Linked DNA regions of Elephas maximus indicus. The main gene of each other region encodes a partner of the protein of the gene in region 3 in a complex. Links are inferred from orthologs where the notes say so. Each region holds a gene or a part of one and is shown on either strand. Other genes may lie near its edges. The genes, in order: SERPINA5, SERPIND1 and F2.

Region 1 (3,820 bases), on a different chromosome or scaffold from region 3:
GAAATGCCCCAAGGTGTCAGAGGGATGAGAGCTGGTCAAAGCAAACCAGCCATCAGTCAGTCTGAAGCCAAGGGGCCTGAGGAAGAAGGAGCCGGGGACAGGGGAAGTGGGGGCTGGTGTGGGGAGTCAGTCCTCCTGCTGAGTCCACACAGCCACGCACCCCAAACCCGTTGGCTGATACTCCTAATGTTAGGCAACCAAACCCCAGACAGGCTGACTTAGGACTCTGTGGGAGGCATGCAGCTGAGGAGGGTCTGTTCCGTACCTGTCAAATCCAAACAGGGAGAGGCCAAATTGCACCTTTCCCTGGATTTCAAAGACGGGGGGGACAGAGCTTCACGGGAGAAGTGACCGTAGAAGCTTTCTTAACTTCCCCCTCTACCTCCTATCCATCTGCACGTCTTGTCGATTTCAATCTCCAAGATATGTTTTAAACCTACTGGGGGCACTCCATCTCAGTGAAAGCCCCTTCGTCCTTCGCCTGGACCCTGCAAAGCCTTCCTTCCTGCCCCCACAAACCAGCTTCCTCAGTCAGAAACCTTGTTGTCAGAGCACTCCCTTGGATCTTTGGGGGAAATCTGAGTTTGGTTTGTGTGCCAACCCAAAGGCCCTTCAGGGTCCCCTTTGCCCTGCTCTCTGGCCTCCCCCTGATGGATTCTCCCACTTTCACTTCCTCTAGGCCCACTTCTTCTCTCATTTCCCCAAACCCAATGCCCTCTCCAGCGCTCCGGGCCCTTCATGTCCTACTGTCTCCCCTGGAAACCTGCCCCCACCTCCCCCACCTTTCTCGTCAGAGCATCAGGCCTCAGCTTCAAGGCCCCTTCTTCGTGGTCCCTCTGGAAGCTGGGCCCAGGCCCCTTGGTTGTTTCTCTCAAGAGCCCCATCAATTGTTGTGCGCCATCAAGTCGATTCCGACTCATAGTGGTCCTGTAGGACAGAGTAGAACTGCCCCATAGGGTTTCCTAGGCTGTAATCTTTATGGAAGCAGATTGCCAGGTCTTTTCTCCTGTGGAGCTGCTGGGTGGGTTCAAAATCTTTCATTTAGCAGCTGAGCACTTAACTGTTGGGCCACCAGGGCTCCTTTCCCATCAATTATGCATGCGTCTGGGCTCAATTTCTTTTGTTCTGCTTCTCTCTCCACTAGAATAAGTGCTCACAGCAGGGAGCCCCCCATCTGCTCTGCCCCCAGTCACGGGGAGATGCTCCATGCACCTTTGTGGGATGAATGAGTGAAGGAATGAACCACCCCTGGCCCATCCTTTGTAATTCGGTGTCGGGCCGCAGGCTGGGTGCTGACTAGTGGACCTAGAGCCAGGCTGGGCATCCAGACCCTTGCTCACACCACCAGCCCCGGGGTTAACTTGACCTTGAGTTACTCCCTCCCCTAGCTCAGCCTGTTTCCTGACTCAGGGGAGCAGTTTCTCCTTTTATTGTTGCATTTCTTGCCAAAGGTCCCATCCGTTAAAAACTGAAAACTGCTGATTTCTGTCTACCTTGTGTTTATTTAACAAACTGCCAAATGGTGTCTGGAGTTGGCGGGCAGCTGCTGTGACCCTGAGGGGAGGCCTTATCTCAGGGAAGTGGATTGCATTTTAGAATGTTTCCTGATTTTATGGGTCAAGACCCTTGGCATAGAAAACAATGCAAGCCAAGGTTACTGAGCACCTCCTGCTAGCCCGGCATTTTGTCCCCTCCTCCTCGTCCTCATTTCAGGGTTTCTCAACCTCACACTGTCCACACCTGGGGCTGGATCCCTCTGTCATGGAGGAGGCTGCCATGTGCATTGTAGGATGTTAGCGACGTTCTTGGCCTCTGTCCACTGGATGCCAGTAGCCCCCCCTCCGCCCCCATCTAGTTATGACAACCAAAAATGTTGCAGACATTGTTAAATGTGCCTGGGGTGAGGGGGTGGGTAAAATCACTCCTAGCTGAGAACCACTGCCTTACTTAATCTTCATATCAGGCCAGGCGTATGCAGAGGGTTAACTATTTCCACCTTACTGATGAGGAAACTGAGGCTTGGCCACATTAGTGCCATGCCCAAGGTCACACAGCTAGGGGAGACTCTCCTCCCTGGCTCAGTTCACGTTGCCATGAGGGCCCTTCCCGCTCTCCCTCTATCTGTCAGGGATGCCTCTGCAGCTCTAGCACCCTCCAGGTCCCTTAATCAGAGCCCATTCCTTGTCTCTGCTCCCACGTCCTGGAAGCCCCAGGAGGCCCCTGTCTGCACTCCAGAGTCTGTACTTACTCTGTCCAGTGGCCGAGCGTGGAGACAGTGGAGGTGGCGTCCGTCGGGCTTAGCAAAGGGCAGAGAGCTGGCTGGACTGGAGCCAGAACTTGCCTACGACCTTAGCGGCCAGGACTCCACCCCTCCCGGGCCCCGCCCCAGGCGCCCTGCTCTGTCCTGCAAGGCTTCTAGCCAGCAGGCGGGCTGTGGACAAAGCTGCATGAGGGCCACCCACTCACTGTCCTTCAAGCCCCACACCGGCCTCAGTTTGCCTGTATATGCATGGGCACCCTGGAGAGACGAGGCAGAGTCAGGAAAGGCCACTGTCAGCACACCCCGCTTTTCATTAGACTCAACACGTTTGTTTCTGCAGCCCATCTGCTACAGATCCAAGAAAGGGGAGACTTGAGCCCCAGACTCCACAGGCCTTCTGTGCTGACTTGTCTCGTGGTCCTCAACAGCCAGATGCTGGTGGACCTTAAAGGGATTAGGAGAGCCTCAGGATGGTTGAGTTGAGGGGCCACTGTGTCTGGTCCCCACGTTGCACGAATCACTGAATTGTGGCTCAGAAAGGTGAAGGGACTTCCCAAAGCCGTACATCAATTTAGGGGCAGAGCGGGGCCTTAGTGCCCAGTTCTCTGACATCTATTGTTACCTGCCATCAAGTGGACTAAGAGTCATAGCTACCTTGTGAACAACGGAATGAAATGTTTCCCAGTCCTTCATCATTAGCACGATCACGGGCATGTTTTATTGTGGCACTGAGGCAATCCATCTCATCCAAGGTCGTCCTTGCCATTTCTGACTCCACTTCACCACACATGATGTCCTCCTCCAGTGAGGTGTCCAAAGCAAGTGAGTTGAACAATGTTCTGTAATGACCCATAGGGTTTTTATTGACTAATTATCAGAGCTAAATTGCCAGGCTTTTCTTCCTAGTCTGTCTCAGTCTGGAAGCTCCTCTGAAACCTGTCCACCACGGGTGACCCTGCTGGCATTTGAAATACTGGCGACATAGCTTCCAGCATCGCAGTAACACACAAGCCACCACAGTAGGATAAACTGCAGGCGGAAGGAGGATCACCAACCTAGAGATTCCTAAACTGTGCTCTATCGGATGGAAATCGGTGTTACACACCTATTATAGGCTACATGTTGTTGTTAGGTGCCAGAGAGTAGGTTCCGACTCAGAGTGACCCAATGTACAATGGGATGAAACACTTCCCGGTCCTGCACCATCCTCACAATCATCGCTATGTTTGAGCCCATTGATGCAGCCACTGTGTCAATCCATCTCGTTGAGGGTCTTCCTCTTTTTTGCTGACCCTCTACTTTACCTATATGATGTCCTTCTTCAGGGACTGGTCCCTCCTGATGGTGTGTCCAAAGGACATGAGACAAAGTCTCACCATCTTCGCTTCCAAAGAGTATTCTGGCTGTATTTCTTCCAAGACAGACTTGTTCGTCCTTCGGGCAGTTGATGGTGTATTCAGTATTCTTCACCCTAAAGTTATCCAGATATCTATTATCTAGAACCTTTTTTTTACTGGTTTATGAATGTCTCCTTACATGGCAAAGGGACATTGCAGTTGT
Region 2 (3,600 bases), on a different chromosome or scaffold from region 3:
CTAAAAAATCAGCCACTGAAAACCCTACGGAGCACAGTTCTACTCCGACACACATGGGGTTGCCATGAGTCAGAGTGGACCTGACGTTAATTTTTTATATCATAGCCCCATGGATCCCTGTGAATGCCTAAATGGACTTGAGTTTGAAAACCACTGCTTCAGGTAACATCCCTCTCTCTCCAACAATGAACATGACAGTTTGGCTGCAAGCTCTCCTTGACTGGAGAAAGGTTCTATTCCATGGTTTCTTCGCGCTCTAAGCCACCAATCTCATACTTTCCCCTCCACTTTTGTCTGAGGTACATGATCACAGAAGGACGGGGACACCTGCCTCATTGCCGAAGCAGCCACGTCAACCCTGGAGACCTGGGCAAGGTCAGATGCTGTGATCAGATCTCCCTCTGGCCTCGTAAAAGGAAGAGAAATACTTGGAGGGCAGGTCTGTAGCCTCTACTTTCAGGGAAGCGTTCCAGCTCTCCCTGACTCAATCTCATCACCCAGAACTCTGAAGAGTGTCTTGGTGACTTCAGCAAGGGCTGCTCCTGCACCAAGGCTCTGTAAGCACGCAGACAATTCTGGTGTCACACGTTCAAAACAGCAGCTAAGTCACAACTTGAGCTAAATCACAAGCTGAGAAGTCACAAGTCACTTAGCAGTGATCAAAGACATAGTTGAGGGGGTTTGTGCTGACAAAGCTAGCTGAGTATTGTTTGACTTGGGACATATTTACTTTGGAAAACATGCAACAACAGCTTAGCACCAAAGTTCACATTGAAATTCCACTGCTGATCTTGGCTGTTTTCATCTCTGCAACTCCACGTCTCAGCAGCACAGAGGTAAGTCTGGTCTTTAACACTTCTGCTGATCATAAAATCTTATTTGTGATCTTTCAATATGAGCTTCATTTCTCCATCCGACTACAAATTTCAATGCTTTCTATACTATTTGAGAAATGCAAAGATTTTTTTTTAAAACCTGCTTATTATAAAATTCTGTCAGTTATGTTATCAGGACAATTGACAAAATTGGATCATGGACCATAGAATAGATGGAAGTATTACATATACGTTAAAATATTTTGAATTGGATGACTGTACTGTGGTTATGTATGAGAATAATCTTGTTCTCAGGCACTTTTCCCTAAGGTATTAGTATTAAGGATTAAAGGGCCAGGATATATGCAACCTACTTTCAAATGGTTTGGAAAAGAATAATATGTGTGTGCGTATATATATGTTTACACACACACACACACATACATATATGGAGAGAGAGAGAAAATGATAAAGCAAACACTTCAAATACAAAACCCTAGTGACTCTCTGGGTAAAGGGTATATAGAGGTTGTTCTCTATACCATTCTTGCAACTTTTCTGTAAACTGAAGTTATTTCAAGATAAAAAAGATTTTGTAAATCCAGGCAGTTATGTCTCTCCTACCACACCTGCTGTTTGGGCCTAGTCCCCCAGGAGGGACAAGGTGTCCCGGTGTCATGCTCTGACGAACCACTGAAAAGTCCTGCTCCACACAATTAACACAAGAAACCACCATGTGAAATTTCCATGAAAACAAACTTTTGAGCAATTTTCCTATTGCTCTCTTCAAAGACAGTAATCTGAATTTAAACACAAGCTAAACCTAGTGATAATTTTTAAATATCTTATATAATTTTTGTGGTACTAAGTAGCAAAACCAAGGAGCCTCAGTGGTACAGTGGTTAACTGCTCAGTTGCTAACCGAAAGGTTGGTAGTTTGAATAAGCAGCAAAACCAAGGAGCCTCAGTGGTACAGTGGTTAACTGCTCAGTTGCTAACCGAAAGGTTGGTAGTTTGAATCCACCAGCTGCTCTGTGGAAGAAAGATGTAGTAGTCTGCTTCTGTAAAGACTATAGCTTTGGAAACCCTATGGGGCAATTCTACTCAGTCCTATGGGGTCACTGTGAGTGGGAATCAACTCGATGGCTACAGGTTTTAAGTGGCAAAAAATCAAGGACCATAAAGGACCTAATTGTTATATATAGAAAATATCATAGTTTCTGCTTCCTCTCATGAAGGAATAATGAAAATTACTCTTGGCTTTTCAACATATAACATAGGTTCAGAGTATATGAAGCTTCCAAATATACTATCCGAATACCAAGATAAATACATGAATGCCTTTGCCCCGTCCTCCTAGTTGGTTCCAAATTTTTTTTCCTGAACTCTTATCTATTCGAGTTTATTTTTTTTAAACCTTATTTTATCTGAGAAGGATACTTTTAAGTGCCATCTATCAAGCAGATGTCCACCAAGTTGCTTTTCTAACTTTTTAAAATGTATTGCCATCAACACCCAGGCCCCATGCTATTTGGAAACTGGGCCTAATTCTACCTGACAGCCAAACACTGCAGAATTTATTCACAGGTGCAGACCACAAGGTACGACAGTGCTCACTACTGGGAGGCTGGGCGAAAAAAGACAGCAGACACTTTGAAAGTTAGAAACTCCGAGGCTTCCCCTCCTAAAAATGTGAAATTCAGAAACCTCTCAGTCATGACTGACACACACTTTGAGCTGATTGTTTTAGTAGTTCCGTAGGGGGAAGGCCCAAGGAGGGAGACTGGAGGCAGGGAAGCCGTCCAGGAAGTGACTCTCAGAACAGGTCTGTCTAAAGAGGGGCTGTCAATCATGTGCTCCTTGAGTAACGGAGTGCTCCATGCTCCCCTGTGAACAAGGCACACTAGACTCTGAGGAGCTGGCAGTCCAGCCAGCTTGGCTTGAACCTAGCCACTGCCACTTTTAGTGATGTAAGACTCAGTTTCCTGCTATGGGAAATGGCAAGGGCAACACTGAGAGAATTAGTTAAATCACAAAGCACAATAGGCATTGCTCTTATTAACATCTACAAATCTTACAGTATTTCAAGTGGGTATCCAGACAGTTGGGTGGTGCAACTTTGGTTAACGTGCTCGGCTGCTAACCAAAAGGTTGGAGGTTCGAGTCCACCTAGATGTGCTAGGAAGAAAATCAGCCTTTGAAAAACCTACGGAACACGGTTCTATTCAGACACACATAGGGTCACCGTAAGTCGGAGCTGACTCAACAACAACTGGTTTCCATGTAGTTAGCCCCGACTTCTGGACTAACAAGTTCAAATATTTGCTTAACGGAAGCCAGTAACTCTTATCTGGCCTACACTGGAGGCAGATATTCTGGCCCTCACATATCTACTGAGCAGGAAATGATCACTGAAGCACAACCAACTTAGCAGAACAAAAGGCTTCCTTCCAGGGTGAGCAGAAGTCATACTGGGATCATGAACTACCTGCCTGGGTCAGCATTATAAACACTAACTGTCAGCGTCCAGGCAAAACGTGGACACATCAAATTATACCTCATCTACCCGGGATGCCGGCACTGGGTTTTTTTTACCCGGAATGCAGTTAATAACCTGGACATAAGCAAAAGGAAAACTTATTTGGCAGCCAAAATTGATTTGACAAGCAAGTCAAATCCTTCCTGGCACAGGCAAGGGACTGACAGATAAATATAGGCTTGCCACAAGGTCCGTGTATTAATAACCAACTTTACTTAAATGAAGGTAATGACGCTTAGGCCTTTA
Region 3 (3,820 bases):
CCAGGTCTTTCTCTGCAGAGCCACTGGGCAGGTTCAAACTGTCAGCCATTTCATTAGTGGCTGAGCGCTTTACCATTGTGCCACCAGGGCTCTCTCTCTCTCTCTCTCTCTATATATATATATATATACACACAGACAGACATACACACACACACACAAAATATAAGAACTTTGGCCACCCAGGAATTAAGCTGATTCCTGGGAGCCTGGTCTGCAGGGCTCTGCCAACCCTCTCTGTTACAAACACTGCACCAGGCCCCTGCCCGTGATCTTGCCAGGTGAACATGACTGCAGTCCAGACCCCAAACAGCCAGGCCCAAAGGATAGGCAAGGCAAGGCCCTGTGCTTCCCTCTGTTCTCGCTCTTTGTCCTTCTGTCCTAATTAGACCCAGGACTAATATTTATCTTGCAGACTGCACACAGGAAATGGGGGAGGGACAGGGAGCAGGGCTGGGCCCAGGGGCAGTATAGGACCTGCAGCCACTCTAGGCTTGGACCAGGTAAGACAGGCAGGGAGAGAGGGAGGGGCCCTACCCCAGAGGCCCTGGGATTTGGGCTGGCTTCTGTTCCGGGCAGGCAGCAGGTCCTGGGAGATGAAAGAAAATAGACCAAAGGCCCAAGAGGCCCTGGACCTGCTCCTCCCAGGTAACCACCACATACAAACACACATCCACAGCACCCCAGATGGGAAAAAGGGGAAATGGAACCTTCCATCAGTGGTTGAGAGTCCGGGGCCCCTGTTGGGTGTCCCTGCCCCCAGCACATCCCAGAAAGAGGTGGACAGCTTGTGTCTGGCCACATTGTGGCCACACCCTTGTCTCCGGCCACATTGTGGCCACACCCTTGTCTCCATTTTCTTATATCTGCATATTGTGATTCCACAAACCTCTCCGTCAGTTTACATACATTTATCTACCAATTATTTATGTATTGACATACATTTACCAATTATTAACAAAAACCAAATCTGTCGCTGTCAAGTCAATTCTGACTCATGGCTACCACACGTGTGTCAGAGTAGAGCTGTGCCCCATAGGGTTTTCCATGGCTATGATCTCTCAGAAGTAGATAGCCAGACCTTTCTTCCTGGGAGCCAATGGGTGGATTCGAACCCCCAATCTTTTGTTTAGTGGCCAAGCACAAACCATTTGCACCACCTAGGGACCTTTACATTTATAATCTCCTTTACTCCTCACACCAAGTTCTATTACCATCCCCATTTTACAGATGAGAAAACTGAGGCATATAGAGACTAAAGCAATCATTACCATGTATTAGCTTCAGGAAGATCTTGGCCCAAGTTCACCTCATGCCCCAGGGAGAGGAGGAGTGGGGGTTGGTGGTTACAGTGACCTTTCCTTTGTGGCTTCCTCTCAGACTGTCCATCTCTGGTCCTAGGAGAACGTTTTCACCAGATGGCGGGGGTGGGCAGGTGAACTATCTATCTGCTTGTCCCTACGGCCCTGAACCCATGACCTCTCCTTCTCGGCCAATTTCTTCATGCTAGTTCAACATTAACCCAGAGGGGTCAGGATGAGCCTTCAGAGTCCCAGAGCAGACACACTATGGCGCACGTCCGAGGCCCGCGCCTGCCTGGCTGCCTGGCCCTAGCTGCCCTGTTCAGCCTTGCGCACAGCCAGCATGGTAAGGGGCGGCTTGGAAGCTAGGACAGGCTGGAAGACTGGGCCATGGGCCGTGGTTGGGGTCTACTGGCCTGACAGAGAACACGGCTGACCCCCAGGAGGGTCTCAGCCCAGGGTATCCAGCTTAGGGAAGCAGCTAGGTCCTCAGGGCTGGAGGACGCTGGCTGCTTCTCTCCTGCAATATGGGGAGTGCGCTGGAAGTGGCCAATGTAAATAGGGGACCTGGTGGGCTACATTTGGCTGCTTTCTGGCTTCCGCCGGCATGCCAGCCACCCCCTTCTGGATGCCAGCATGGCTTGCTTCCTGGCCCCACCATGGCCAAGGCCGCCTGGCTCTCTGAGGCCGCTGTCGCACGACCCTTCTACCGCAGTGTTCCTGGCCCCTCAGCAAGCACTGTCGATGCTCCAGCGGGTCCGCCGTGCCAACAGCGGCTTCCTGGAGGAGATGCGCAAAGGTAACCTGGAGCGAGAGTGCGTGGAGGAGCAGTGCAGCTATGAGGAGGCTTTCGAGGCCCTGGAGTCTCCCAGTGACACGGTGAGGACCAAGAACATCGGAACTCATTAACTACTGCTAAGTTAACTTCAACTCTGATCCCCATTCCACTGGGCTGGCAAGGTGATCAACCTCAGCCATTTTTGGAGGTCCCTGTACTTGGCTATGCTGAAGTGCCAGGGTCTGTTGAGGCTGCCTGACATGCAGAGGCCTCCTTGGTCTCCAGACAGCTGCCTATGTTGGGATCTCTACAGTCCCTTGCCCTGACCCATGTGATCTCTTCAATTTCAGCCTTTCTGTGCCACCCTTGGGCTATGGGAATCCTATGAGGCCAGGAGCCCTGGGCTTAGGCCTCAGCGTTCCTGGAACTCTGGCAGCCTTTCCCTTCCTTGGGTGTCTGCCAGGGCCCGCAGCTAAGGACCCATGCTCCTCTCTCCTCTCACCTACCCCAGCTCAGGGGACCCCTTTTCAATTGTGGTGAGTGGGAGAGAGTGGACTCCCCTCTCCTCAAATACCCTTTTCTTTAATGGGCTTGGGCTTTTGGTCACCAATCTCCCCAGAGCCTGACTCTGTGTGACTGAGCTAAGGGAAGGGAAAGTCATTGGAGAAGACAGAAGTTTACTATAATAAAAATAAGTAAATCAAAGGCTCTCGGCTCAGTCTCACTGCAGTCCTTGTTTTTCAGGAAGCATTCTGGGTCAAGTACACAGGTGAGCATCGAGAAGGATCTGCTCCTGGAAGGGAGGCCTGGAGACTCGAGCTAGGGAATGTTCTACCTCACAGAAATATCTGGTTCACCAGTCATCCATCCATACACTCACTCAGCCTTCTTTCTTTCTATCTGTTCATTTCTCTGCTTCTGAGTATTACCCCCCCCCCACCCTTTATTCCAGTCCATCCTGTCCCTACTCTGCTTCCAAAGGTGTTTCTGGGTCTTTTGCAGCTTGTGAGCCAGTGAGGACACCTCGAGAAAACCTCGTGGAATGTCTGGAAGGTGAGGAAACAACAGCGTCAGGGGTGTGGGATGTGAGGGGTAAGCAGTCCCAGGAGAGAGGGGCCTGAACCTGGAAGAGGAGGAGGGTAGGGGTGGGTTAGGGGATGTGGCCCAGTAGGGGCAGCCTCTTACATTGACATTGCCTTTCTTTTTTTTTTTTAATTGAACTTTAGATGAAGGTTTACAGAACACTAGTTTCTCATCAAACAGTACACACATTGTTGTACGACATTAGTTAACAACCCCATGACATGTCAACACTCTCCCTTCTCAACCCTGGGCTCCCTATTACCAGCTTTCCTGTTCTCTCCTGCCTTCCAGTCCCTGCCCAGGGTTGGTGTGCCCCTTTAGTCATGTTTTCTTCCCTGGGGCTGTTCAATCTTTGGCTGAAGGGTGAACCTCGGGAGTGACCTCATTACTGAGACGAAAGGGTGTCTGGGGGCCATACTCTCAGGGTTTCTCCAGTTGCTGTCAGGCCAGCAAGTCTGGTCTTTCTTTTTGTGTTAGAATTTTGTTCTACATTTTTCTCCAGCTCTGTCCCAGACCCTCTATTATGATCCCTGTCAGAGCAGTCAGTGGTGGTAGCCAGGCACCATCTAGTTGTACTGGACTCAGTCTGGTGGAGGCCATGGTAGATATGGTCCATTATGACATTGCCTTTCTGTCCCTATGGTCTAGCCTGTGTCTCTGC

What was found.
Region 1: the proteins of F2 (region 3) and SERPINA5 are in contact, whole or in part, in a crystal structure (PDB 3B9F), measured with the Homo sapiens proteins. The link is inferred for Elephas maximus indicus from reciprocal best matches to the Homo sapiens genes F2 and SERPINA5. Residues at the interface, in NP_000497.1 of Homo sapiens: Arg383, Pro386, Glu388, Leu389, Leu390, Cys391, His406, Cys407, Tyr410, Pro412, Trp413, Asp414, Lys415, Trp455, Glu457, Asn458, Leu459, Asn506, Arg541, Ile542, Asp562, Ala563, Cys564, Glu565, Gly566, Asp567, Val588, Ser589, Trp590, Gly591; in NP_000615.3 of Homo sapiens: Gln241, Lys295, Lys296, Arg297, Thr368, Ile369, Phe370, Thr371, Phe372, Arg373, Ser374, Ala375, Arg376, Leu377, Asn378.
Region 2: the proteins of F2 (region 3) and SERPIND1 are in contact, whole or in part, in a crystal structure (PDB 1JMO), measured with the Homo sapiens proteins. The link is inferred for Elephas maximus indicus from reciprocal best matches to the Homo sapiens genes F2 and SERPIND1. Residues at the interface, in NP_000497.1 of Homo sapiens: Lys384, Ser385, Pro386, Gln387, Leu389, Leu390, Cys391, His406, Cys407, Tyr410, Pro412, Trp413, Asp414, Lys415, Leu423, Arg425, Ser430, Thr432, Arg433, Tyr434, Lys440, Ile441, Ser442, Met443, Asn458, Leu459, Lys470, Trp511, Ala513, Asn514; in NP_000176.2 of Homo sapiens: Glu75, Asp76, Asp77, Asp78, Tyr79, Leu80, Leu82, Ile85, Phe86, Asp89, Asp91, Val305, Glu306, Met307, Thr308, His309, Gln327, Asp343, His361, Lys362, Arg388, Thr457, Val458, Gly459, Phe460, Met461, Pro462, Leu463, Ser464, Thr465.

What each region holds. Positions count from the first base shown.
Region 1 is NC_064828.1:108,117,270-108,121,089, reverse strand, and holds the start of SERPINA5 (plasma serine protease inhibitor), read right to left. Parts: upstream 2,318-3,820; 5' UTR 2,249-2,317; intron 1-2,248. UniProt on the Homo sapiens protein: Heparin-dependent serine protease inhibitor acting in body fluids and secretions. Inactivates serine proteases by binding irreversibly to their serine activation site. Involved in the regulation of intravascular and extravascular proteolytic activities.
Region 2 is NC_064840.1:21,269,218-21,272,817, forward strand, and holds the start of SERPIND1 (heparin cofactor 2), read left to right. Parts: upstream 1-811; 5' UTR 812-836; intron 837-3,600. UniProt on the Homo sapiens protein: Thrombin inhibitor activated by the glycosaminoglycans, heparin or dermatan sulfate. In the presence of the latter, HC-II becomes the predominant thrombin inhibitor in place of antithrombin III (AT-III).
Region 3 is NC_064825.1:102,166,362-102,170,181, forward strand, and holds the start of F2 (prothrombin), read left to right. Parts: upstream 1-1,565; coding exon 1,566-1,644; intron 1,645-2,013; coding exon 2,014-2,177; intron 2,178-2,820; coding exon 2,821-2,845; intron 2,846-3,078; coding exon 3,079-3,129; intron 3,130-3,820. UniProt on the Homo sapiens protein: Thrombin, which cleaves bonds after Arg and Lys, converts fibrinogen to fibrin and activates factors V, VII, VIII, XIII, and, in complex with thrombomodulin, protein C. Functions in blood homeostasis, inflammation and wound healing.